3 linked regions of the Caenorhabditis elegans genome follow. The protein of the gene in region 1 purifies or fractionates together with the protein of each later gene. This does not show direct contact. Each region holds a gene or a part of one and is shown in the gene's direction. Other genes may lie near its edges. The genes, in order: ubr-1, tag-276 and pyp-1.

Region 1 (8,640 bases):
TCTGATAGTTTTATGGCAGGATTTTGCGAAATTTTGTCAACTTTTTCTTTGTCGCAGCGGCTGAAATATAGTTTTTATCGAATTATCCCGATTTATTGCATATTTTGATTATTTATCTGGCGTTAATTCGTTAATTTAGTCATATTTTAAGTCGATAGCTATTCAAAAATTACGAAAATTGGATGCAAATCGAGCCAAATCAACGGAACAGCGTGAGATAATCAACCAAAGCATGCCAAATAGGGCAATATATGAAAAAAAATCAATTTCCATCGGCTTTTACAAAGAAAAAGTTGGGAAAACTGAAGTTTTTAGCTAAATTTAATATATTTCTTAAAAATTTAATCCATTAAAAATCAATAACTTTGACGTACATTTGCACTCTCTGAACATCATGTCTCGACGCAAATCTGCTATCAAGTGGGAATTTGTAATCAAGAGTATGCCATTCTGGAAGGCTCAGCTTGTTCTCTAGCTCAACAACATTTTGCTCAATATCGTTCAAGACAGAAGTCATGGAGGCGACGTTGAAATGCAGTTTCTTGCAGCTTCCACTCAAATCATCCATCTCATTGTACAATCCTAAAACTTTTGGCTCGAGTGTAATGAGCTCACGGTCATAAGCATTAAGCTCGAGCATTTTATTATGGAATACTCGTTCCTGCTTCGCAATTTCCGAATGATAACTATTGACAACTTCTTGAAGGGCGGTGAAGAAGGCTTTTGTATCATTTCCACCGAGTCCTGCTTTGATTTCTTCTTCAGAAAGTGTGTCGCTTCCACTTGCACCAATTTTCAGGCCTGCAGATGTAGTTGCAGCTCCTTTAAGTCCTGATGTTGTCCATCTGAAATTAAGAGTTTTTTTTATATTTTTAAAAAGTAAACCAAAATGTACCCAGTTCCCTTAGCCAATGGTGTTGAAGTGAGCCCTAGGCCAAGTCCAAGAGTTGGAGTAGCTTCTGCTGGCTTTGGAAGAGTGGAAGTAGTGCTGGTTGTGGTTGGAAGAGATGGAGTTGCTGACACTGTAGATGGAGTTTGTCCCAATGTAGCGGCAGTAGCAGGTGTTGTTGTAGTTGCTGCTCCAAACAATCCACCGGTCGGACCTACAGTTGCTGGTGCAGTTGTAGTCGCAGCCCCGAACAGGCCACCAGTCGGAGCTGCTGCGGCGGGAGCAGTTGTGGTTGCTGCTCCGAATAATCCACCAGTCGGAGCTGTAGAAGCAGGCGTAGTTGTGGATGAAGCACCGAACAATCCTCCAGTAGAAGCCGCTGGAGCTGCACTAGTAGCTGTTGTGGTTGCTGGAGCTGTTCCGAACAAAGATCCAGTAGCTGGAGCTGATGTGGTGGTTGTCGATGATGCTCCAAAGAGTCCTGCTGTTGGTGCGGCTGGGGTCTTAGCAGGAGTTGACGATCCGAAGAGACCTCCGGTTGGAAGTGAAGCGGCCGGAGCAGCGGCGGTAGATCCGAATAATCCCCCAGTTGTAGATGAGGTTGGTGCTGCGGCTGCGGCGGTGGTGGCTCCGAACAATCCTCCAGTTGAAGCTGCCGCTGGGGCGGTGGCAGGGGCTGCCGCAGCGGTTGTAGAAGCACTAGAATTACCGAACAATCCAACAGATGGAGTGGATGCTGAAGCAGCACCAATGCTGAAAAGACCTCCAGTAGCAGCGGCGGGAGCAGTAGAGGCTCCGAAAAGACCACCAGTGGCTGGAGCGGACGAAGGAGCAGATGTTGGTGCTCCGAACAATCCTGATGTGGCAGTTGTAGTTGCAGCGGTGGTTGCAGGAGCGGTAGAACCAAAAAGACCTCCCGATGGAGCTGCAGGCTTTGGAGCTGCGCCGAATAGTCCACCAGATGAAGCTGTCGCAGCAGGTGCTGAATTTCCGAATAATCCAGAGGTTGGAGCAGCATTGCTAGTAGCTGGTGCAGCCCCGAACAAACCACCAGAAGGAGCTGGGGCTGTGGAAGTTGGAGCAGCTGAAGATCCGAATAAGCCGCCGGATGGAGCCGCTGTAGAGGTGGAAGTGCTTCCAAATAGTCCTCCTGGTGCTGCTGGAGCGGCCGTGGATCCGAATAATCCACTTGATGGCGCAGCAGTTGAGCTACCGAAAAGCCCGCCAGTTGGTGCAGTTGTTGCGGTACTTGTGGATGATCCGAACAAGCCGCCAGTTGGAGCAGCTGGTTTATTAGCTCCGAACATGCCAGCACCAGCTGATGGTGCGCTTGCGCCAAACGTTACTGTAGCAGGTGCTGCTGAATTTGCAGAACTTCCAAAAATGCTCGTTGAAGCGGGAGCTGGCGCCGCGGCACCAGAATTTCCAAAGATTCCAGCAGACGCTGGGGCTGGAGCTGCAGCAGAGGAGCCTCCAAACATTGAGCCTGAAAAATTTAAAATTATACTTTTTGAATACGGGAGCGTATTTTACAAGTTTATTAAACCAAAAACCTACCAGTAGCTGTGCTGTTTCCGAAAAGTCCAGTACTTCCAGTGCTCGGCTGTGCGGATCCAAAAGAAAAACCTCCGGTAGTATTCGTGTTTCCGCCTAAAAACGAAAAAAATAAATTAGTTGAATTTTTCATCGATCGATACCTGTGTTCGCTGTTGATGTGCTCGAATTACCGAAAGAAAATCCAGATGAGGCTGTTGTGGTAGCAGCGGTTCCTCCGAAAATCGACGGTTTTGGTGCAGATCCTCCAAACATTTGATCTGGAATGATATTTTTAATATTTTTAAAGGGCAGCAATATTATTTGACAAAAAGAAAACGACAGAGAGGCAGAAAATAGTCATTTGAGTGCACAAATGAGCGCGTCGAGATTCGAAAAATGATTTGGTGGTCGCGCGAAAATGATGGCCTAAAAACACCGCAGACTAGGCCGGCGGCTGGGAGGAGCACGCGACGTCGGCGTGAAGGAGAAAAATCGAAGATAATTTCATGTGCTGCAGTTAGTTTGAAAATATAAATATTTTTGGGCCCGAATGTCTTTGTGGTTTCTATTGCTATTCTAACTTCTCGATTACAACTTATAATATTGATCCATTTTTTATACTGATATTTTAAAAAAGTTATGAAATGTGAAGAAAGATCTCGATCATCGAAACGATGAGCAAGCTTCTGAATATGCAAAGTTTTCTATCACAAAGGGGTAAAAACGCGGGAGAACCTTTTTTTCCTGCTGACCAAGTACTTTTCACGAAGAAATACTTTAATTTTTGATGAAAATAAAAAAGAAAACTATATACAAACTCAAAAATCTAACAACTCTCAGCGATCCACGCAAATTAGGAAATTGAAAACAAAAAGAGAAATTTGTGTACCGTAGTCCGAACACTTAAAGGCGCATGCCTCACCTTCAGGGTCTCGCCACGATCCACTTCCCAAGGGTTTTATTTTTATTTTTTTAGATTGTTTTTTTTCGCGAAATCAGTTATTTTTTCGGTGAAAAAGTATATTTTATTGCTTTTAAAGTCAAATAACTTTTATTAAAATATAGTTTTAAATTATTTTGACGTTATATGAGTGAAACATTCAAAGTCCACGTGCTCTAAAGTCTGATTTTAAAAAAAAGTTTTTTTTTATTGCTTCGCCAGTGAATTCGCTGACACGTAAAAATAATCAATATTTTTAATAGTTCAATTTCCTCATTGTTGAATTATTTAATCCACGATGCATTGCACCGAGTCCGTGAGAGCTCTTTATCTGCGGCAACACTCTCGCATCGAAAACAGAGAGAGAGAGAAGCAAATCTATATCCTCCCGTTCTCTCTCATCTCCTTCACTTTCTCCTAGTGTCCACTGTCATCATTTTTGCCTCCCATCACTGCTTTTTGTCCTCTCGTTCGCTTATTTTGATATGGTCATCAGCAGCATAATCGGGGGGTCGGAAAATAATCAATATATTTTATTTTCTTTTACGAATCCTCTTTTTCTTAGATGAAATGCTCCTATTTTATCAAGCTACCGATTTCAGTTCGACTAATGGAATGATTGTCGATTTAATACAATCAGCTCGACAGGGTGAATGGGCCCAAGTACGCCAGCTGCTGCTCAAGCACTGGCTTGTACAGGTCCCAGAGGTGTTCGAAGTGAATTCGGATTTGCCATGGGACAATACAGCCGCGAATGAACGAATTCTAGGTGGGTTTTTTTGAAAAAAAAAACATATATATTAAAAAGCCAATTTTGCTTCAGGTTCCCAAGGAGAGATTCTCCTAGCCCCACTGGTCAGTGCATTTGTACTAGACGTTCGGAACACAAAGAGCACACTGGAAGCAATGAATGGCATTGCCGGAGTTGATCCTGCAAGACGGGGACAAATTTGTGGCCATGTATTTAAAAACGGAGAACTTACGTATACATGTCTGGATTGTGCCACTGATGGGACATGTGTCATGTGTCTTCAGTGTTTTGAAGTTTCAATTCATAAATCTCATAAATACAAAGTGAGGATGCCTCAAAATGAATCAATTTCCACAGAAAATTTCTGAAAAAAAACATTCAGATTTTAGCCGAAACTTGCCCTTTTTCTCGAAATTTTAAACCAACATAGACAAAATCTTGAAAAGTTTTTGATTATTTTGAGCGAATATGAATGATAAAACACGCATATTTAAGTAAATCCAATTTATAATTGAAAAAAAATTTCCAGATGCACTCTTCCTCCGGTTCGGGATATTGTGACTGTGGTGATGCAGATGCATGGACAGAAGGTTACGCATGTGCAAATCACGAGAAAAAGGACGATGAAGAGGCGGCAGTGTTGGCTCCAGAATTGAAAAAACGATGTGAACAGCTGGTGGAAATCATTTTACAGTTTTCCCTTTCAATGATCACTCATAAAGATGATCTCAAACTTCCCGAAATTTTCGAGAAAATGAAGCCAGAGGTTACAAATGAGGCACAGCAATATTTGACGGTTCTTTACAATGATGAAACTCACACTTATGAATCTGTTAGTAATTAATATTCCGAATTTCAATTAAATCTTCAATTTCCCCGTTTTTTCCAGGTGATCAAAGTTCTGGAATTGTACATACATTGTACAAAGGATCAGGCGATGCTTGTAGCCACAATTGTCGATCGAGAAGGTCGAAGTGCTGTGAAACTTGGCAGTAAGGCTGATTGCACCAAAGCTAAGGATGATGTTCAGAGAAAAACAGCTCGAGATCCAACGTCAATTCGAAGATCATCGAATCATAATCTACCGTTAAGTGTTAAGGTTATGGATACCACGCTTTTCGCGCTTCAGAATTTTTCGATCTCCCTTCTTACTTGGCTCAACACACAGATGGATGTTTTTCGTTAGTTTTTATTTCTTTTTATTTCTTTTCATTATTCGAAATCGTGTTTTTATTTTCAGCTCCCCTTCGCGAAATTGTTGGAGAAATTCTGCTGAGTTCAAAGTTTGCACTGAAAAAGAATTACACGCGGAAAATGAAGTCAGAGGATCAACGTCTAGTTGCCGGAATTATCAGAAATGTTATGGTTTTGCCGGATGATGAAGAGGAAGAACTATTCGCACTTGATGGAAGAATGGATGTTGATGAAATGGATGACGACGATATTGGTGGAGAAGCTCTGCAAATGGAAATTGACGCGGATGATGAAGAAGAGATAACAGCAGCGTTGGCAGGAGTTTCAGAACATCAAGAATCTCCAGGTCCTTCACGAGATTCTTCAACATTCACAATGCTAGAGAATATTCTTCTCCAGGATACACAAATGTGGAAAGCTGGAAGATCGATTTTGCATCAAATGCTCATGCGGACAGTTTTCATGATTTATGATCAGAAAGTTCGATTTGCAAAGGCTTTTATGCTACATTATAATGAAATTTACGAGGATTTCATTAAAGATGATCATGAGATGGATGTTTCAGTTGTTGGGTTATCAGTTCAATTCATGACTGTTCCTAGTCTGGCTCGGAAACTTGTCGCCGAAGATCAAGCATTCAGTGTGATATCGAAAGCGATTCGGGATCAGACTGATAAATTTGTGAAGTGTGAGTTTTGAAAATATCAAACCAGACGTGGGCGGAAATTTTGATTTTTGGCAAGTTTCCGGAAGTTGTTAGACGGAAACACTTAAAACTGGGATTCTTTTTTGAAATTTTTTCTTATTTTCTTCAGCTATTTTTATAAAATTTGCTTACTTTTCAAAATAGATGTGAGAACATTTATACGATGCGTACAATTTTGCCGATTGAAATTGAAATTCTCAAATTTTCAAAAAAGAAATGTGCAAAACCACAATTTGCCGAAAAAACGAAAACTTCGGCAATTTCCGTTTTGCCGGAAATATAGAAATAAAGCCGCCCTCCCCTGTATCAAACCAATATTTGAATTTCTCTAATTTTCAGATTACAATGACGGAAAAATCGCGAGATTTGATTTCACAAGTCGCTCATTTCCACCAGAATTAAGAAGATCCCTTCATATCACTCGAGATATGGCCTATATCCTGAATGCTGTGCCATCGGAAAGCGACTGGAATCGAGAACTTATCGATGGATTTGTTCAAGGATTCGCTGATTTTCTGCTTTTCCTGCAGCATCTGCAAGGAATGGATGAGGTGAAACGACAAGCCGTTGAGCATCAAGTGTGGGAATCTGAGTGGGAAACAGCGTTCAATATCCTTTTACGATTGAAAGACGCGATTTCGATGATTATTGGATGGGCAGAAACTAATGTGAGTTTTCCTGAAGTAATTAAAAATCTCAAAATAATTGGATTTTCAGGAAGAAGTTCATAATCGTCTAATGATAATGTGCCTTGAATTGATGAATCGTATGCCACCTGTCTATACAAAATCCGAGGAGGATACCTATGAATTGACGGTCACTATCAACGGAGAATCATGTCGAATATCACATTTTGACGTGCTTAAATCATCCACCTCGGTCCATCAGCCGGTTGTTCGAATTATCGCGGGTCTCTTTAGTGCTTCGAATTACACGGGATTTTTGTTGAATAGAAGTAATAATTCACATACGAGTTTGAATCAAGAAAGAATCAAAGAACTTATCAACTGTAAGGACGAGACGAATCTCTACGAACTGAGTCTCCGAGTGCTCGTCCTGTGTGCACAATCCAACGCGACACTTTGGAGAAGAAATGGATTTTCGCTGATAAACCAGATTCATAATTATTTCTCTCCACTCTGTCGAAATGAGATGTTCGATCGTGATGTTCTGATGATGCAAGTAGGAGCTGCACTCACACCGTCAACAAAATTCATTTTCCACCTTCTTCATCGATTCCGTCTCTTTAAATGGGCTACATCCGAGTTTGAACAAGACAAGGCGAATGAGAAACCAGCGAAACCGGAATCAGAGGATCTGAGTAAGACGTTGGTGATGATCGCTGAAGAGTTCATACAATGTCTGATTCTGATTCTCTGTGAACGGTATACATACGGAGTTGGAAAGACTCGTCCGATGGATCAGATGAAACGAGAAGTTATCCATATTCTTTGTACTGGATCTCATACGTTCAGTCATGTAAGACTTTTTTAACTACGAAGCCTCGAAAGACCGAATTTCATAAGGAAAATAAATTTCTCAGATAATTTTTATGGCTGTTCAAAATTTCGAAAGATGACCTAATTTCCTTAAATACTAGTAGCCTGTGTCTAAATCAACAAAGAAAAATGTAAAAAATAACACGATAGTCTAATACAAATTCGACCGCTGCGGCAAGGAAAAGTTGAAGAAATTGTATTTTCTTGAACCGCCTTTTAAAATAAAATTAAGTTTCGTTTTTAAGGTATTATCGGCCATTTTGGGTATAATAAAACAGAAAATGAAGGTTTTTATTCAAATTAACTTCTAAAATTTCCAGATTCAACAGAAAATGTCACATGATATCAATTCGAAGCGTCTTTCTCTTCATGAAGCAGTAAATCTGGTTGCAGACTTCCGAAAGCCACTGGCCACCACAGCTGGACAATTCCATTGCAAAGAGTCGAGCCTTCCAACCTATTCACCATTCTTCATGCATTATTCAAAAAGTGATCAGTCAGCTGCTGAACAGAGTCAGGCAAGAGTTCGTGCGAAAATGGAAAAGTGAGTTATTGAGTTTATATTTTACTATCAAAATTCAATACATTTAAGGTCGGTTCGAGCTTGTGCGCCGCCTATTCTTCCGGATTTTCAAACATTTTTCGAGCGGATTCCCGAAATTCTTACCACAAATGTTCTTATTCACGTTGTTCGTCTGATTATCGATAGAACAGCTCGACGTAGCCGTTTCTCAAGTGATCGTCTCTTCCACAAAACACTATATCTGATCGGAATCGCGTTAAACGAAGAGGAAAAGAATCCATCTTTCGGATTTACACAACGTGCAGAGGAATCGATCGGTCTTTTGTCGCTTTTAGAAGGACTTGTTGGAAAACCAGAGTCATCGATTTGTCCGATCCTTCTCGAAGTGACCGTCGAGAAATACAGAAAATTGATTAAAGCTAGAGCAGGTGTTCCTGAAGCAGCTCCAGCTCCTGAAAACAAGCCAGCACAATCCGAAGAAGAAATCAAAGCGAAGCGAGCTGCAAGGGCGGCGGAAATGAGACAAAAAGCGATGGCAAAAATGTCGAATATGCAGTCAAAGTTTATGAAGAAAATTGAGGACGAAGAGAAGAAAGACGAAT
Region 2 (7,348 bases), on another chromosome or scaffold:
CGCTACGGAAAGTGTAGATGTACGTCTTCCAGAAGGATTCCCAGATCACGCGATTCCCATCGATCTTCACATCCACGTGTGCAAATATTTCGCGTATCACGGCTTCTGCCACGCTCGGAACACTGAAAAAGGATGTAAACTGCTCCATGACGTGGATACTGCTATCGATTTACAGAGGATTAAGGAGAATAAGAAGGCGTTCAAACGAAAACGGAGATATAATAATGTGATTGCTGAATCGGTTGCCGAGAAGACGGGCACCGATGAGGAGGCATGGAAGAACGCGAAATTTGAGCAGAATTTGTTGACTCGAGACTTTCGGGAGCTCAAGAGAAATGTGGTTACAGGGCTGCATCGGGCTGGAGTTGATGCTTTTATGACGGCTTTTGCGGTGATTTATCAGCAGAGAAGAACCCTGATGGCTGATAATTCAGTTGATTTGAAGGTGCTTTTTGAAGAGAAGCATTAACAAAGATTGTTTTTAAAGTCATAACATCTATAGGAAATTAGCCGAAAAATTCGAAAAATTTTGTGCTTTTTGAAGAATAAAAGTTTAAAAATTTATAGGAAATTAGTCGCCGTAAAATTCGAATAAATTCAGCGATTCTGAATTTTTTTAGTACTGGATTTGCTTAACTTTTTAAAAAAATTTAAAGATTTTCCCCGAAATCGCCTGAAATGTTCATTTCTTAAAAATCTCAATTTCTGAAAATTTGAAATAATTCGGAATTAAAAAATATTATAAATTTTTGATTATTCCTAAAAATTTTAAAAAAATTAATATCTGAAATTCCCTTAAAATTCCTAAAAAATTTCAGAAAATTTTAAATATTTCTAAATTTTGAAAAATTCCTTTTAAATATTATACATTTTTGAGGCTTCCAATAATTTCACAAAATTAAAAAAAAGACAATTTTTGAAATTCTCTAAAAATTCAAAAAAAATTTCAGAAAATTTGAAATAATTCTAAATTTTGAAAAATCCCTTTCAAACACTTTTTTAAATTAATAATTTCTTAAAATTTATAGAAAGTCTGATATTTTTCGGAAATTCCAAAGTTTTCAGAAAATCCCAAAAATTTACAGAAAATTTCAGAAAATTTTAAATAATTCTGAGATTTAAAAAAATCCCTTTCAAACATTTTTCTCAAAATTTAGTTGTTTCTAAAAAATTTTTAGATCGTCTGAAATTCTTCGGATATTCCAAAAAATGTTAGAAATTCTCTGAAAATTCCAAAAAAATTTCTGAAATTAAAAAAAATCCCTTTTAAATATTATTAAATTTTTGATGATTCTTAAATCTTAAAAATTTTCGGATAATATTATAAATGTTGAAAATTTATGGAGAGTCGGAAATATTTATGAGACATGATTTTTAATTTTAAAAAATCTTGAAAATTATAATATTTACAAAAAAAAATTTAAAAATCGAATTCTTTCAATTTTCAGTTCCTAAACCGCGTTCCACTGTCCGCCAAAGATAAGCCATTGCATCTTCGCCACCGACCGGTCCCAGTTCCACAATCCGAGCAAATTGATGCTCATTTGGAGGCAATGGTGGAGATCAACAAGCAACGGGACTATATTCGAATGAATGCAGCCGCTACAGTTATCAAAAGTGTTCAGAAAGAGGATACACCTTGTGAAGATTGAATAATTTATTTTTGAATTTTGATTTTTTTTGTTGTTGTTGTTGTTATTTCTGGTACGTTAAATCCCCATCTAAATACAATTTTTTGGAAATTTGAAAATTTCCACTTTTTCTCGGTTATTGATGTTCCCCCACCTGATCTTGATTGTTAAATTCACATTGTTTCGATTTCAATCCATTTTTTTAAATTTTTGTTGTTGTTTCCAACCTATTTTTTTCTGAAAAATAGACTTATTTTGAGTTCTTTGTATATTTTAACCGACAAATTCGCCCTGGATATTCGCCGTTTTTTGAAAATTCAAAAATTTCGGAAATTTTGAAAAATCTGACAGTTTTTTTTCAATTTTTAATTTCGAAAAAGTCCAAAAACTCTAAAAAATGCCAAAATATAAGAATTTATGAAAATTCCAAAATTTTCGAATTAATTTTGGAAATTTCTGTTAGGATTAAAATAACTAGTTAACGTTTCTCAAAATTCTGAAATTTTGAAATTTCTGAAAAAAATTTTAAAACTATTGAAAAATTAGATAGCTCAAATTTTTAAAAAATTCCGAAATCGCCTGAAATTTAGCTTTAAAATCTCAATTTCTAAAAATTCCAAAAAAAAATGTAGAAGAATGTGATAATTTCTGATAAATATAAAAATTTGAAATTCGCTGAAAATTTCTTATTTTTCCTATGTATGCGCAGTTTTTCTTCAGAAATAAATACAATTGCTATCAAAGAAAAAAAATAAAATGTAACTTTTTTTCGGGATTTTTAAAATCCGAAAAGTTCCAAAAACACATTTGAAATAATATAAATTCTCTGAAAAAAGGTGGAGTGAGGCTGTCCCATTACGGTTTGATCTACGAAAAATGCGGGATTTTTTTACCCAGAAAAATGTGACGTCAGCACGTTCTTAACCATGCGAAATCAGATTGAAAACTCTGCGTCTCAACTCCCGCGCATTTTGTAGATCTACATAGATCAAACCGACACCACGTGTAAAAACCCATAAAAATAAAAATTTTCAGAAAACACCAAAAGCTACAAAAACGGACAATTCCCAAAGAACCAAATTCGAAAAGCCTTTAGAAAAATCAGAAAATGTATAAAATTTCTGAAAGTTCCAAAAAACTTCTTTAAAATGCTGAAACAATTTCGGAAGATTCCAAAAAAAATACCTGAAAACCCATAATTGCAGAAATTTTGAAAAAGTACAAAAAAAAGTAAAATGTAATATTAGGTTGGTCAAAAAGTCTTTGCAAAATTCGTATGTTTCTTCATTTCTCAGCGTTAACTCGTTATTTTCCTATTCTGTTTTTTTATTTGCATAGTACGTAATGTGCATGTTTAATACATTTGAAAAAACTTTTGGGTGTTGTTCAAAATGACCGAGAATTTGCTCGCCGAAGGTCACACCCTCCGAGGGGTTTTCTGTATGGGTTCCCCCAAGGCTGCAATTGCAACGAAGCTCGTGGTAACATGTGTGCAGTGTTAGGCAATAATTCTGTCACCTATAATACCATAAAGTTTTGGTTCGAAAAGTTCACGAAAAAGAACTACGATCTCGATGATGAACCAAGATCCGGTCGGTCTCGTTTGGCTATCAATAAGGATAATTCGAGAGCCCTGGAAGATGATCCAAGAGCAACGAACCGTGAACTTTCTGCGACTCTCAAGCATCTCCAAAGAACCATCATCAACCATCTCCGCGAAACCGGAAGGGTAGAAAAGTTCGGTCATCTCGTTCCTCACAATTTGTCCGATTCTCAGAAAAATTGTTTTGTGACCTCTCTTTTTCGCTGCTCACTAGGAAACGAACAACAGACTGGGTATAGGATATCACTACTGGAGATGAGAAATGGGTATTGCATGTTAACTATACCAGAAAGAAACAGTGGGTCCCGGTCGAGGAAACCGTGAAACCTGACCTCAAAGGGGAACTTCAAGAGAAAAAGTGCTTCTCTAAATTTGGTGGGACAGTAAGGGTGTAATTTTCCGAGGACTTTTTCCAGACTCCGTTACAATCAACGCTGGCCTATACTCTATTCAATTGGAAAAGATGGTCCGTGCTCATCGATTACATCACCCTAGAGAATCAAAATTTAGGCTGCTCTATGACAACGCAAGACCGCATACAACTTTGAGGACCCGCCAGAAGCTCCAGACACTCGGAATCCAAGTTTTGTCTCACCCACCGCATTCGCCGGACTTGACTCCTACTGACTACCATTTGTTCCGCTCTCTCCAGAATCACCTTACCGGGCAGAAGTTTCATGATTGAAAGATCGTCGAAACGTGGTGGGACGACTTCTTTGCCTCCTAATCTCAGGAGTTCTGTGCGGAGGGTATTGCTCAACCTTCGTTGGGTTGGCAAGAAGTCATATACACTAATGGTGAATATATTACCCATTGAATCTCGTTCGCTTTGAATAAATACTCTCTCCAAAAAAAATTCAAAAAGTTGCAAAGACATTTTGACCAACCTAATAATTTATGCAAATTCCAAATTTTCTAAATACTCCTTCTTTAAACATTCCGTTAGAATTAAAGTATCCAATTAAAATTTCTGAAAATTCCAATATTTTTAAAAACTAAAATCTGAAATCCCCTAAATTTTGACAACTTTTTTCCATGTTCCTCAGGGAGAACCCTCCCTTATTTCTCAAACAAAAATGTACGTATGTACCAAATTTATATATTCACAATCGTAAACCAATCAATAACCATTGTTTCCTTCTGCTTTCCCATTGCCACGTTGCATAGCCCATTCCCCCCCGCCCATATATCGATTTTTTGTTGTTGCCAAATTGCAGCGTCCTACAGGGTTAGGTCTAGGTTAGTGTCATTCTTAACCACATATCTCAGTTCTTCTCTCACCTTTTATTTAACTCATTCTAAATGCCATCTCACACCAAGCCGGTCTCCAATGCTGCTCTCCCAAGAGTCCCAGCTCCACTGAGCCCTGCTCAACAAGTCAGAAAATACACTGACTACTTGCTCAAAGAGCACAACCGGTACTATGCACTGGAGTGTCTTCTCTTCCTCGACTGCCCGATTCGAGTATTCCGGGAATGCCGTACCGAGCAAATTGTCAAGAGCCAGTATGATGGACGGTATGAGTACCAGTACCCAGTCAACTTGTTGCTCCAGAAGCTTCGTCGTCTCGCTGCTCAGGAGTTGGAGCAGGATGTTGTGGAGCAAAAGATGCGGGAGGCTTCGAAGAACAAGGTGCTCTTCGCCAATGTGCTCAATATTTTTGCGGATTTGCAAAAGGAAGCGGAAAATTTCTCCAAGGTTAGTTTTTGTTGTTATTTTAAAATTTTGCTGAGAACTTTTTAATTTTCTGAAAACGAACTCAATTTTTAAAATAATAAAATAATTTTCGATTATTTTTGTACTTAAAATACCTACATATTAAGTTAAATTGCAATTTAAAAAAATTTCAAAATAAAAAATCTACACCGATTTTGCGCCGTAAATTTGGCCTGAAAAATAAAAATAAAATTTCGCACCAAATTAAATTTAAAAAAAAATTTCTAAACCTGACCAAACCACCTAAACTAATACTTTCCAGACTACAAAACAATCATCCACGTCACCATCAAGCTCCTCTTCATCCGAAGAATCGTCGGCTTCTTCCTCCCCAGTCGTATAATTTTACCAAACTTATTATATTCGTTGCCAATTTTTCATAATCTGTCATTATTTTCTTGTGTTTTCAACTAATTTTCCCTCATTTTTATTATCCAGTTTTTCAAAAAAACTAATCCCGATTGCAATGTTTCTTGTCAATTAAAACTGTACATCACAGATAAAACTTCAATTCAGTTTACTTATGTTTGCAAAAATATTCAGGCTTTAGGTTTTTAAGCTTTCAGGCTTGGACCGTTGAGCCCAGACTTGGATGCTAACATTTGAATTTAGATTTTCAGAATTATGGCTTTTGCTTAGGCGTAGGCTTGGGCTTAGGCATAAGCTTGGCGTCAGCTCTGAAAAAACATAGTCTGAAAATGCTCTCATTATCTACACACTCCAATTTTTCAGTGTTAAATAAATAAAAATTTGACTCCTAACTTTTTACATTTTTATAGTTTTATTAAAGAACTTGTTATTGTGAATCGAATGCGTTATGAATTATTGCAAAATCTTTGTTTGGCTTTATAGAGCAGTCTGAAAATGCTCTCATTATCCTAGGCCTAGGCTTAGGCTTAGGCTTAGTCTTAGACTTGGGCATAGGCTTAGGCTTAGGCTTAGGTGTAGTCTTAGGTGTAGGCTTAGGCTTAGGGTTAGGCTTAGGCTTAGGCTTAGTTTTCCAAGTTTTTGTATTAGGCTGTTTTTAAATTAAACTGTTTGAAAACATGTTCATTAGCTAAAAAAATATTTAAAAAATATAGAATTGGCACAAATATTCGAAAAAAAAAACAAAAATCAATAATTAAGCCTAATAGACCACAGGCTTCCGAATACAACATAGATAACTGTCGGTAGTGGAAGATGGTAGACACGTGTAGCCGAGTGGGCAGCTGGAATTATTTTAAAATATCGATTTTTGAACGTTAAACGTTTTCAACAATATATGTATGTTAGAATTTTTTTAATTCCGATTTAAAAAAAAATTTTAAAAAATTGGATAAAGATAATAAGATAATACTGATTTTTAGAGTTTCAAAAAACAATCGAAAAAAATTTTTTATTTTTTATTTTTCTGGAACTCACTCCAACGTAAACAGTGATAGACAACGCTGCACATCTTGATTAACATTTTTCGACGGCATATATGAAAATGGGCATGTCGGCTGCGCAATCACTTCTTCCTCTTCAATCGGCTTCTCAGTAGTTGTAGTAGTTGATGACGTCATAAACGTAAATGGCCCAATCATTGGAATCTGTGGTGGAAGGATTCGGTTCATTTGAATAGTACAACACACATAGACATCATCAATATCAGATTCTTGACACGAATATCCTGATCGAAGAATACACGGATCTCCGATATGATCACAAATGTATGGGAAGCCGTTTTCCATGAGTGGACGGGCTTCAGGGTCTTGGCAGTTTGGACTGTAATAAATATTAAGATATGATTAAGATACCTTTGATGGTTTAAAAGTAAAGTAACGCCAGTGGGGATTGTGTCTAAATACACTTAAAATTATTTCAAATGACCAAATATCATTAACAAACAGTCCAAAAATTTTTAGATTTTTCATTATTCCCGGTCAGTTTTGGAAAATTGCAAACATTTTGAAAAATATGAGCCTTTGAGGAAATCCAAAGCAATTTCGCATGTTCCAACCCCTACAATTTTTTAATACAAATAATTAAAAAAAAATTACAGTATAAAAAATGTAGAAAAAAATTTTTTTTTGGTTGACTTCCAAAATTATGAGTGGCAAAAACTGAGTAATTGTCACTTTTTGATAATAAATAAAAAAATTTCAAAAATTTTTTGAAATTTTTTAAAATGATATTCGATCATTTTGACACCAATGGAGTAGTTTTAAACACTTTCCCCTCTGGCGCTACTTTGCCTTTAATTAAGCAACCTACACAGATTCAAAAGGGTATGGTTCTGCAGTAGTTGTGGCTATGGTTATGGGAGCCTTCATAGTAGTTGTAGTGTAGTAGAATGGAGGGGGTAGAAGGGTTTTACGGCTGTTGCCGACTGAAATTTTTTTTTTTCTTGAATTTTAGTTTTTATAGGTTTAAG
Region 3 (9,111 bases), on another chromosome or scaffold:
TTCAGAAATTTGTCAAAAATGTGTTAATTTTCATCGCATTGTTCTCTACGACGTGCTCACTCAAAACAACGAAAAATCCATTTCTTTTAACGAAGGAGGAAATAAAATATGCGTCAATTTCAGATGTATGTGTGCATCTAATTTGTAACTAAAACTATAACTGACAGGTGGATTTGCAATATGGATTGGCAAAAACACGCGAAATGTTTCAATTTGGATGGGATAACTACATGGAACATGCATTTCCAGCAGATGAATTAGATCCAATTCATTGTAGAGGCCGTGGACACGATCATGATAATCCGTAAGTGAGCAGGAAAAGAGAGAGGTTTCAATAACAGATTCAGAGATAATATTAATGTTAACGATGTGCTTGGAGATTACTCGTTGGGATTAATTGACACTTTGGATTCGCTTGTGGTTTTTGGTAAGTTTGTTAATTTTTTTCAAAAGTTATTATTAATTGTCAAAATTAAAAAATGGAGTATCGTCAGTGGAAATTTAGTCTAAAAATACTCATGATAGCCCAACATGTCTGATTATAACAAACCCAAAATGTTTAGATTTTTTCGAAAATTTAATTCAAAGTTTTGGTAATTGTCAAATGTTCCAAAACGTTGAAAATTTTTGCATTGTGCAGATTCAAGCCCCTGGAATCTTTAAATACTTTTTTTTGTTTTTTTTTTTTTGGTTCGCCACTTTTTGATCATAAATTTAAAACTGCAGTAGGGAAAAACCGCTTGTTCGAAAATATCCAACTATCATATTAAAACTAATTTTTTTCTGAATTTTTTAAATTTATGATCAAAAAGTGGCGAACCAAAAAAAAACCAAAAAAAAGTATTTAAAGATTCTAGGGGCTTGAATCTGCACAATGCAAAAATAGCTACTGACGATACTCCAACATTAGAAAAAACATATATTTTGAATCTGTAAATTTTCAGGAGACGCAGACGAATTCAAACGAGCTGTTAATCTTGTAATTAAAACAGTATCGTTTGAAAAGAATACAACAGTTCAAGTATTCGAATCAACTATTCGAGTGATGGGTGGTCTTCTGGCTGCTCATATGATTGCTGCCGATAAAACTAATCGATTTGGTCCTTTCTATATGTCAGACTACGGTGGAGAACTTTTAACACTTGCCCATGATTTAGCTGGGCGACTTTTACCAGCGTTCGATGGAACGGCCACCGGAATTCCTTACACCCGTATAAACTTGCAAAAGGGAATTCTTCCGGGAACGACAAACTCTACATGTACATCAGGCGCGGGGAGTCTATTGCTTGAATTTGGTGTATTGTCAAAGCTGCTTGGAGATGACACCTATGAACGACTTGCTCGACGAGTTAATGAAAAGTTGTGGAATTTAAGAAATGAGGTCACTGGATTGCATGGTATTGAGAAAATTAAAAATTGTGTTGCAAAACTTTATACATCTAATTTCAGGAAACTTAATTGACATTCAAACTGGAGAATGGCTTGGTCACTTAGCAGGCCTCGGTGCTGGAATTGATTCATTCTATGAATATATGCTAAAGTCGTACATCCTTTTTGGTAATCAACGAGATTTAGATATGTATAATGAATCATTTGCTCGTATCACAACATACATGCGTCGAGGTCGTTCTAGGTGTTCCAGTCTTGAAGGTGATATTCCAATTTATGTAAATGTTGATTCAAGAGATGGAAGCACTTCAAATACATGGATCGATTCTCTTCAGGTGACAGTTACATATTGTTGTTTCTAGTAAACTTTCAATTTCAGGCAAGTTTCGCAGGAGTTCTGGTTTTGGCTGGTGAAGTCGACGAGGCTGTGTGCCATCATGCCCTTTACTATGCAATTTGGAAGAAATACGGAGTTCTACCCGAACGATTCAATTGGCAGTTACAAGCTCCTGATGTCTCATTTTATCCACTTCGTCCAGAATTTGTTGAATCTACATATCTATTGTACACTGCTACGAAAAATCCATTTTATCAGCATGTTGGACTGGAAATTCTTGATTCATTAGAAACAATTACTCGAGTAAAATGTGGCTTCGCAACTGTGCATGATGTCATTGATGGAAGTCTTGAAGATCGAATGGAATCGTTTTTCTTATCAGAAACATTAAAGTATTTATACTTGTTGTTCGATGTAGATCATCCAATTAACAAGGAACAGCAAGAAAGTGTTCTTTTTTCAACAGAGGTATGAATATTGCTGATCTAGGAATTCTTACTTACAATTAGAAAAGTAATTTCAGGGTCACATATTTCCAATATCCCCGCTGTTCAATCTGCCTCCTACTCCGCCATCTCAATATGATCCACCTCTCAAACCATTGCCACGTACCAACTCATCATTTTGCGAAACTGCCACAGACTTCACTTTTGGAACCCCACCACTTCGTCATTCTCAAATGCGTGAATTGTTCAAAGTTATTGGAGTTGATTCGGTTCTTCACGATTGGTTATAATTTATTTGTACTATTGCATATCTGATTTCTTGTTGCCTTATATTTTATGTGGTTTTAGTTCTGTGATAGCAATATTTTTTTTCCGGTTAGCATTAAAATATATGAATTTCAATGATCTAGAAATAAATCAAAAGAAGATAGAATAATGAAATCATATGTTTACATTCTACTAAAATCAATAAGAGTTTAAGTTTTACCAACAATTATGACACATCGTTTGTGATTTGTAATCAGTGTAATACAATGGCGAATGGAGAAACCGAGAGGTATTGATAAGAGAAGACTGCTCACAGAGCAAAAACAAGTCCAAGCGGTTTTCAATATTAGATTCTCCTCCCAGAAGTGTTCTTTGATTGATCTTTCAGTGATGGTCGTTTCTTGATGGGCCTCGTGTTGATCGCCAAACGAAACAAGCCGCTGATCGCGATGATGGCTGCTATACTTTTCACAGTCGCTGTATTTTTGGCTACGAGGTTTGTTGCATTCGACTGTTCCTATTTGGTGGTTTTCAAATGCAAATTAATATTTAGCATATTTTCTCAACTGTCTGGGATTTTTATTTTATTTTTATGCGTTCAGACTTAAATATTTCACTGTTACCGTAGCTGAGGGTTGCGTCTGCATTTTCATGTAGTTTGTGGTGTGATGTGTGTGTACACTGCTATATTTTCGTAGGCCTATTTTTTACAAATTGCTGCGCTGGCAATGCTATTCTTGTTTTGTTTTTATCTTAATCAAATTTTTAGTTATTTTTTATACATATTAATTCTCAAAAATGTATTCAGTATTTGTAAAATTATCTGCTAAGAGTGATTAAATACATTGATCAATACTGAGTGGAGTTATTTATTAGGAACATCAACGATTAATTTTATTTTTTCTGCGTTTTTCAAGCTACATATTATTGCGATAAGGAAATTGAAAATGCATGTCTTCCATAACTTTTATCCGTGCCATTGAACAAGAAGCCATTTATCACCAAACATGCGAAGAGCCTTTTAGACAAGAAAATTAGCTTGTGCAAATTTATTTTAAACCTCTATTGAGTTGATGTTATCTATATTGAGATGTTCAAAAATTTCATGACTGAAATTAGGATTTCTTTTGGGCCCAGGTGAGAGTTTTTTATGCTGATTGTTTTGAGCCACAGGGTTTAGATAATCGTTGAATGATATTATCCTGCCTTATGTTTCAATTTTCAATTTAATCTTGCTTCTATCATGACGACATAACCAAATCCACACATATCACCAACTGCTTGAAAATGTGCATGCGCCACAGCGTCTCTCGTGTTTTCCGCATATATCTCACAAATGTCTGTAGTTGTCCTCATCTCTTCCTAGATGATACTGAGCTGTCGAAGTGTGGCCACGGCGAGAGGATTTTTGTTATCAACTCGTCTTATTATGGGCTGTGCCGTGAGCCAAGAAAGCGCCATCGCCACTGTCTCGTCATCTTCAAACACTGCAACAACATCCACCAGCAGTTCAAATACTTCACAGAAATGGGCCACTTCAAGGACATCGCGTCCAGTTACAAACGTCACACAGGCAAGACTGATGAGTATTGTTCTAGTTTTATTTTGGTTATGTGTAGGTTTCTGCGATTCACACCACTTCAATGGATTCCGGCAGCTCAACTGTCCAATTACCTTCTCCTCGTGGCAGTCTTACCACAGCCGTCTCCACCTCTTCTTCGGGAGCTCAACGACAAATGTCAGCCAATTCGGAGAGGAGTCTGCACACGAGGTTGCGTGTTGATGTTTCTTCCTTCTTGTGTCTGTGTCGTTTTTAAGGGAGGATAACGTTTTATATAATCCTTATTGATGTTTTCTATCACTTTCTAATAACTCACATCCATTGGTAGAGCGGAAAAGAAAAGAAAACAATTATTTAATCTAAATCTGGGTCATGCTCGAATCGCTGCTAGATCTTATATTGAGAAAAAACGTAGTTTAAAAATATTTAACCCTTCTCCAAAACTTCAGTTTGTCCAGCAGCCCCTTGTAGATGAAGTGTAGGCGTACTAAACTTTACCCCGTCACCTCACATTGCAAACGGGCGGTGTCAGCTGATAAGACTAGTCCGTCACCAAATGCTCAAAGAATAAAGAAATGTTGCCTATAATTATGTAACATACTTTTCAAAGATGCCAGTACACATGCTTATAAAATGACACTTTGTGTTTGGAAATTTATTTTCAAGTTGCTTTATTGTCTTTATTTGAATTCGCATTTTAAATTCTGGCGTATTTTTTTTTTAAACTTTTAACGTGAAAACTTTTGCAAATCCACGTTTTAATAGTTTCGAGTGGCAAAATGTTTAAAGATTAGTTTAACAAAAACCTTGTGAAAAATGTTCTCTTGGCTCTTTTGCGGTCGTTGTTTCCGAAACCCAAACAAGTTTGTTATACTTATAATTGGCTGTTATGAGTGTAGAAGTGTTTTCATGATAGCATCTAATTCCACTCGCAAACACATGTAGTTTTCAATATTCGCATTATTATTATTTTTCAGGCCCTTGTCGGAGACTGCTGTCATTTTGCAAAGTCAAGCTGTGAAAATGAGCACCGGAGCCGGAGATTCAGCAGTTTACGAAGCCGTCGAGCGTGGATCTCTTTATAGTTTGGATTATAGAGTTTATATCAGTGAGTCGAAGCTGCTATAATTATTGGTTCTAATATCTATTTTGCAGAGGGACCACAAGGAATCGTATCTCCTTGGCACGATATTCCATTGTTCGCCAACAAGGACAAGAGAGTTTACAACATGATTGTTGAGATTCCACGTTGGACAAATGCTAAAATGGAAATGGCCACCAAGGAACCATTCTCGCCAATCAAGCAAGATGAGAAGAAGGGTGTAGCTCGCTTTGTTCACAACATTTTCCCACACAAAGGATACATCTGGAACTACGGAGCTCTTCCACAGACATGGGAAGATCCAAACCATGTTGTTCCTGACACTGGAGCTAAAGGAGACAATGATCCAATTGATGTTATTGAAGTTGGATCAAAGGTTGCCGGACGGGGAGCTGTTCTGCAAGTAAAAGTTCTCGGAACATTGGCTCTCATTGACGAAGGAGAGACCGATTGGAAATTGGTCGCAATTGATGTCAACGATGAGAATGCTGACAAGTTGAATGACATTGATGACGTCGAAAAGGTTTATCCTGGACTATTGGCTGTAAGTTTCGATTAAACATTTTTCAAAATACGTTTCATTTTTTTTCTTTCAGGCATCTGTTGAATGGTTCCGCAATTACAAGATTCCAGCAGGAAAACCAGCCAACGAGTTCGCTTTTAATGGAGAGTTCAAGAACCGAGAATACGCGGAGAAAGTCATCGATGAGACCAACGAATATTGGAAGACTCTCATCAAGGAAGCAAACCCATCCTTGAACACGTAGGGATTTCATCGCTTTTAATATTCTAAACTTCAAATTTCAGAGTCTCTCGGGTTCCAGAAGCTGTTCACCAAGGAACTGATGAAGCGGCCGCAACTGCCATTGGCGCTACCCCAGAACATGGAGCAAATGCTCCACTACCAGGAGATGTTGATAAGTGGCATTTTGTGCAAGGATGACTAGTACGCCCTGGAAGCCGTGAAGCATCTTCAAAACTTTAAATTTATTGCACTGTCGCTCCCTGAAATTATACTGACTCCCTCATTCTCTTGTTTTGTTCCAACGTATTTGATTATTTGATTCCTTTAATTTTATATTGTTTTTTTCATTATTCGAAAAACTTTTAAAAATTGAATTGGGGATCTTCTCTGTTTATGTATGTGATGTTTTCTTTTTGGTTTACCACCATACGTGAATTATTTGTCAAATCCAAACAGATCTTTTAAATTCAAAGTTCCTTTGGAAAAAGCAGTGAGCAGAGTCAGCACGAACTCGATAAACAGAAGAAACAATTTAAATTTTGAAAATGCTGATTTCAAACATATACGAACGAACTTTTAAAAATACATTAGAAATATCGAGAAATTTCTTTCGCAAAAAAGGAACACAAACACTACGAGACGACGATAGCGATGTTTTTATGTCAAAGAAGAAAAATGCAAAAGCGCTCTATTTTACTGCTAATATTTCTATGAGAAACTTGGCGCCATTTTCCACTTATGTTCCTTTTTCTTCATTTCGCAAGCGCGCCACTTTTTTCAAATGAAAATCAATAATTTCATCCTTCTAGAATCTTCCACAAACAGTTTGTTTCGCATTTTTTCGAAACGTGCAGTGGTTAAAAATCATTCGCTTTTCAATCTCAATTCTCGCCGAAAGCTCATCATCAGATTCTTCTCTTTTAAGCCACCATTATTCGAACTGCATCAGTTTTCATCAATTAAAAACTATTTTCAGTGGTTCTGATCTTTCGTGATTAATGACTACCATCCTTGAGCTAACATCGGCCAACAAAACTAACAACAAGGCCACCAATAACAAGCTGCAGCGTGAAGGAGAAAACGAATATCCTCCGGCGAAACGATCCAAGACTGACGACGAAGAAGAACCAACAGTCGTAGGAAACGGAACGATCGTCGGAGCGCCAAAGCAGCAAACACTTTCTGGGGTCAATGTAAGTTGAAATGGAAAACTATTTTTAAAAAATCTGAATTAACAATTTTTAATTCATAAGAAGCTTGAAAAGAAAGCTCTCAGAGATTCAATTAATTTAAGAATCCTCGTTTCTTTCCGTTGTTTTGCTATTTCAACAAAAAGATAATGAGTGTTCGCCGAATTTCACTCTGATTTTTTAGTCGAAACAGCAGGTGAAAACCCCATTCAAAATGAGAACTGATTTTTCTACCAAATCACAAGAATAAACGCATTCTCCGTTCGCTTTCTTTTATATTTAATCTTCGTTCGCCCAGAAAATTAGAGGGAAAGTTGCCGTGGCAACCACGCAGAAGCTGGCGCTGATACACTGCTTCGTAGCCGACAATGAATAATAATAGTTGGGATTTTGTTGACGGATAGAAAATACATATCCTTAATGCTTACTCGTATATTCTCTATTTTAATTTAGTCCTTGTTTCATTATGTATATGGAATATATCAGGAAGTATGATCCGGGTTGGCATATGCCCAAAAAGGTAAGTTTTAAGAATATTCTGGAATTGTTTGAAATTGATGTTTTAGGCGTCTACTTTTGTAATCAGGTAAAATATTTTAGAGAATGAGGTTATAAATTGATGACTTTTTCATTAGATGAACTGAGGTGGTAAAATTGTCCCGATACATAATAACAATTTACGTTTTAGTTTCGGCCAGTGAAACCCTGAAAAGTGTATTTTCATTCGTAGTTCTATTTATTTGTTGTCAATCCCATGTTTTCTCTATTTCTCTGCGTCTCTGTTAGTCATCATATTTCCGTTCCCGCTCTTGCTCACTTTTTGTTGTGAAAATTGAATGGTTAGTCGACTTTCTGTATTCAACGCAGTTTTTTTCCTAAGCGTTATCAGTTTCGTAGAGTTTTCCAACTTCACAAGTTATTAGGCCAACGATTGCAATCAATAATGTTCTAGAATGTGATTCGCGCTTTGTTGATCGATGTGTTCGTTTATAGAAAGTTCGGACGAATCTTTTTTCTTCGTCTTCCTAGTTAGGTTCGGATTACGAAAGGACACTAACGGGCGGTTTGACAGTCAAGTTGTTTCTTTGCCTGCGTCTCTCTCTTTATTCTTCCTCGCTCTTTTCAATTTCGCAACGAAGTCATTCAGTTTTTGTAGTTTCTCTTGTAATTTCCCTGTGTTCCACTATGACTTATTTTGTACTGTCGCGCATTAGAAACAAATTATAACTACACTAATGACTCTTTTTTCTACTCCAGTTTTATGAAAACTTGAAAAGTATTTGCCATAAAACTCGATTTTCATGACAATTCAAAATATATAAAATTTCGCTCTAAGATATATTAACATGTCAATTATATCATGTAATGATCTGATTTTTCAGCAGTCTGGAAACGTGAACGTCGAGACGACCAAAAACACTGAAGGACAAGACGGTGAGAAGATGGACACTAGCAATAATGCCGGAGGAGTTGGTGGGAACTCAGATGAGCTTCTCGACAAAAATCTTTACTCCCGTCAAATGTTAGTTTGATTTTTCTATTGTTCTAAAACAAAATTGAATATTTCAGTTACACGCTCGGCGAATCCGCCATGGTCAACCTCCGAACTGCTTCCGTTCTCATTTCTGGTCTCGGTTCTGTAGGAGTCGAAATTGCAAAGAATCTGATTCTTGGAGGAGTTCGGCATGTTACTATTCATGACACAAAGCTTGCAAAATGGTCTGATCTCTCGGCTCAATACTACTTGCGCGATGCAGATGTTGGTCACAATCGTGCTACTTCTTGCTACGAGCGTCTTGCAGAGCTTAATGACAGTGTTAATGTACAAGTATCAACTGATGAGCTCACTGAGGAGTTTGTCAAAACATTTGATGTAAGTTTAAATTAATTTTGTGTTAAAAAACATTTTTTAACTTATAGCTTGTTGTTCTCACGGACGCTGCCCGTACTGCTCAACGCCAAATCGCTGCATGGACACGAGCCCACAATAGACGTATTCTGATTACTGATGCTCGTGGTGTATTCTCATACATCTTCAACGATTTTGGAGACAATTTCCGAATTGATGACGCTA

Evidence for each region.
Region 2: the proteins of ubr-1 (region 1) and tag-276 fractionate together in Caenorhabditis elegans (co-fractionation; one large-scale study listed by BioGRID). This does not show direct contact.
Region 3: the proteins of ubr-1 (region 1) and pyp-1 fractionate together in Caenorhabditis elegans (co-fractionation; one large-scale study listed by BioGRID). This does not show direct contact.

Annotation. Positions count from the first base shown.
Region 1 is NC_003279.8:3,812,137-3,820,776, reverse strand, and holds the start of ubr-1 (E3 ubiquitin-protein ligase ubr-1), read left to right. Parts: upstream 1-3,967; 5' UTR 3,968-3,980; coding exon 3,981-4,134; intron 4,135-4,188; coding exon 4,189-4,439; intron 4,440-4,645; coding exon 4,646-4,948; intron 4,949-5,005; coding exon 5,006-5,297; intron 5,298-5,356; coding exon 5,357-5,998; intron 5,999-6,355; coding exon 6,356-6,684; intron 6,685-6,733; coding exon 6,734-7,495; intron 7,496-7,835; coding exon 7,836-8,059; intron 8,060-8,107; coding exon 8,108-8,640. Other genes in the region: npp-11 (Nsp1_C domain-containing protein), read right to left, coding at 375-845, 896-2,375, 2,447-2,539, 2,587-2,698. UniProt on the Caenorhabditis elegans protein: E3 ubiquitin-protein ligase which is a component of the N-end rule pathway. Recognizes and binds to proteins bearing specific N-terminal residues that are destabilizing according to the N-end rule, leading to their ubiquitination and subsequent degradation.
Region 2 is NC_003280.10:12,246,267-12,253,614, reverse strand, and holds tag-276 (uncharacterized protein), read left to right. Parts: upstream 1-4,472; 5' UTR 4,473-4,536; coding exon 4,537-4,932; intron 4,933-5,212; coding exon 5,213-5,293; 3' UTR 5,294-5,490; downstream 5,491-7,348. Other genes in the region: parn-2 (Target of EGR1 protein 1), read left to right, coding at 1-445, 1,449-1,652; Y57A10A.24 (EB domain-containing protein), read right to left, coding at 6,080-6,161, 6,355-6,699, 7,189-7,303.
Region 3 is NC_003282.8:9,992,658-10,001,768, reverse strand, and holds pyp-1 (Inorganic pyrophosphatase 1), read left to right. Parts: upstream 1-3,805; coding exon 3,806-4,012; intron 4,013-4,058; coding exon 4,059-4,210; intron 4,211-4,977; coding exon 4,978-5,108; intron 5,109-5,155; coding exon 5,156-5,646; intron 5,647-5,698; coding exon 5,699-5,865; intron 5,866-5,909; coding exon 5,910-6,045; 3' UTR 6,046-6,384; downstream 6,385-9,111. Other genes in the region: C47E12.3 (alpha-1,2-Mannosidase), read left to right, coding at 6-125, 168-304, 348-427, 945-1,397, 1,450-1,724, 1,769-2,194, 2,250-2,462; uba-1 (E1 ubiquitin-activating enzyme), read left to right, coding at 6,846-7,040, 8,420-8,559, 8,607-8,910, 8,958-9,111. UniProt on the Caenorhabditis elegans protein: Catalyzes the hydrolysis of inorganic pyrophosphate (PPi) forming two phosphate ions. Plays a role in intestinal development and subsequent normal secretory, digestive and absorption functions. Required for larval development.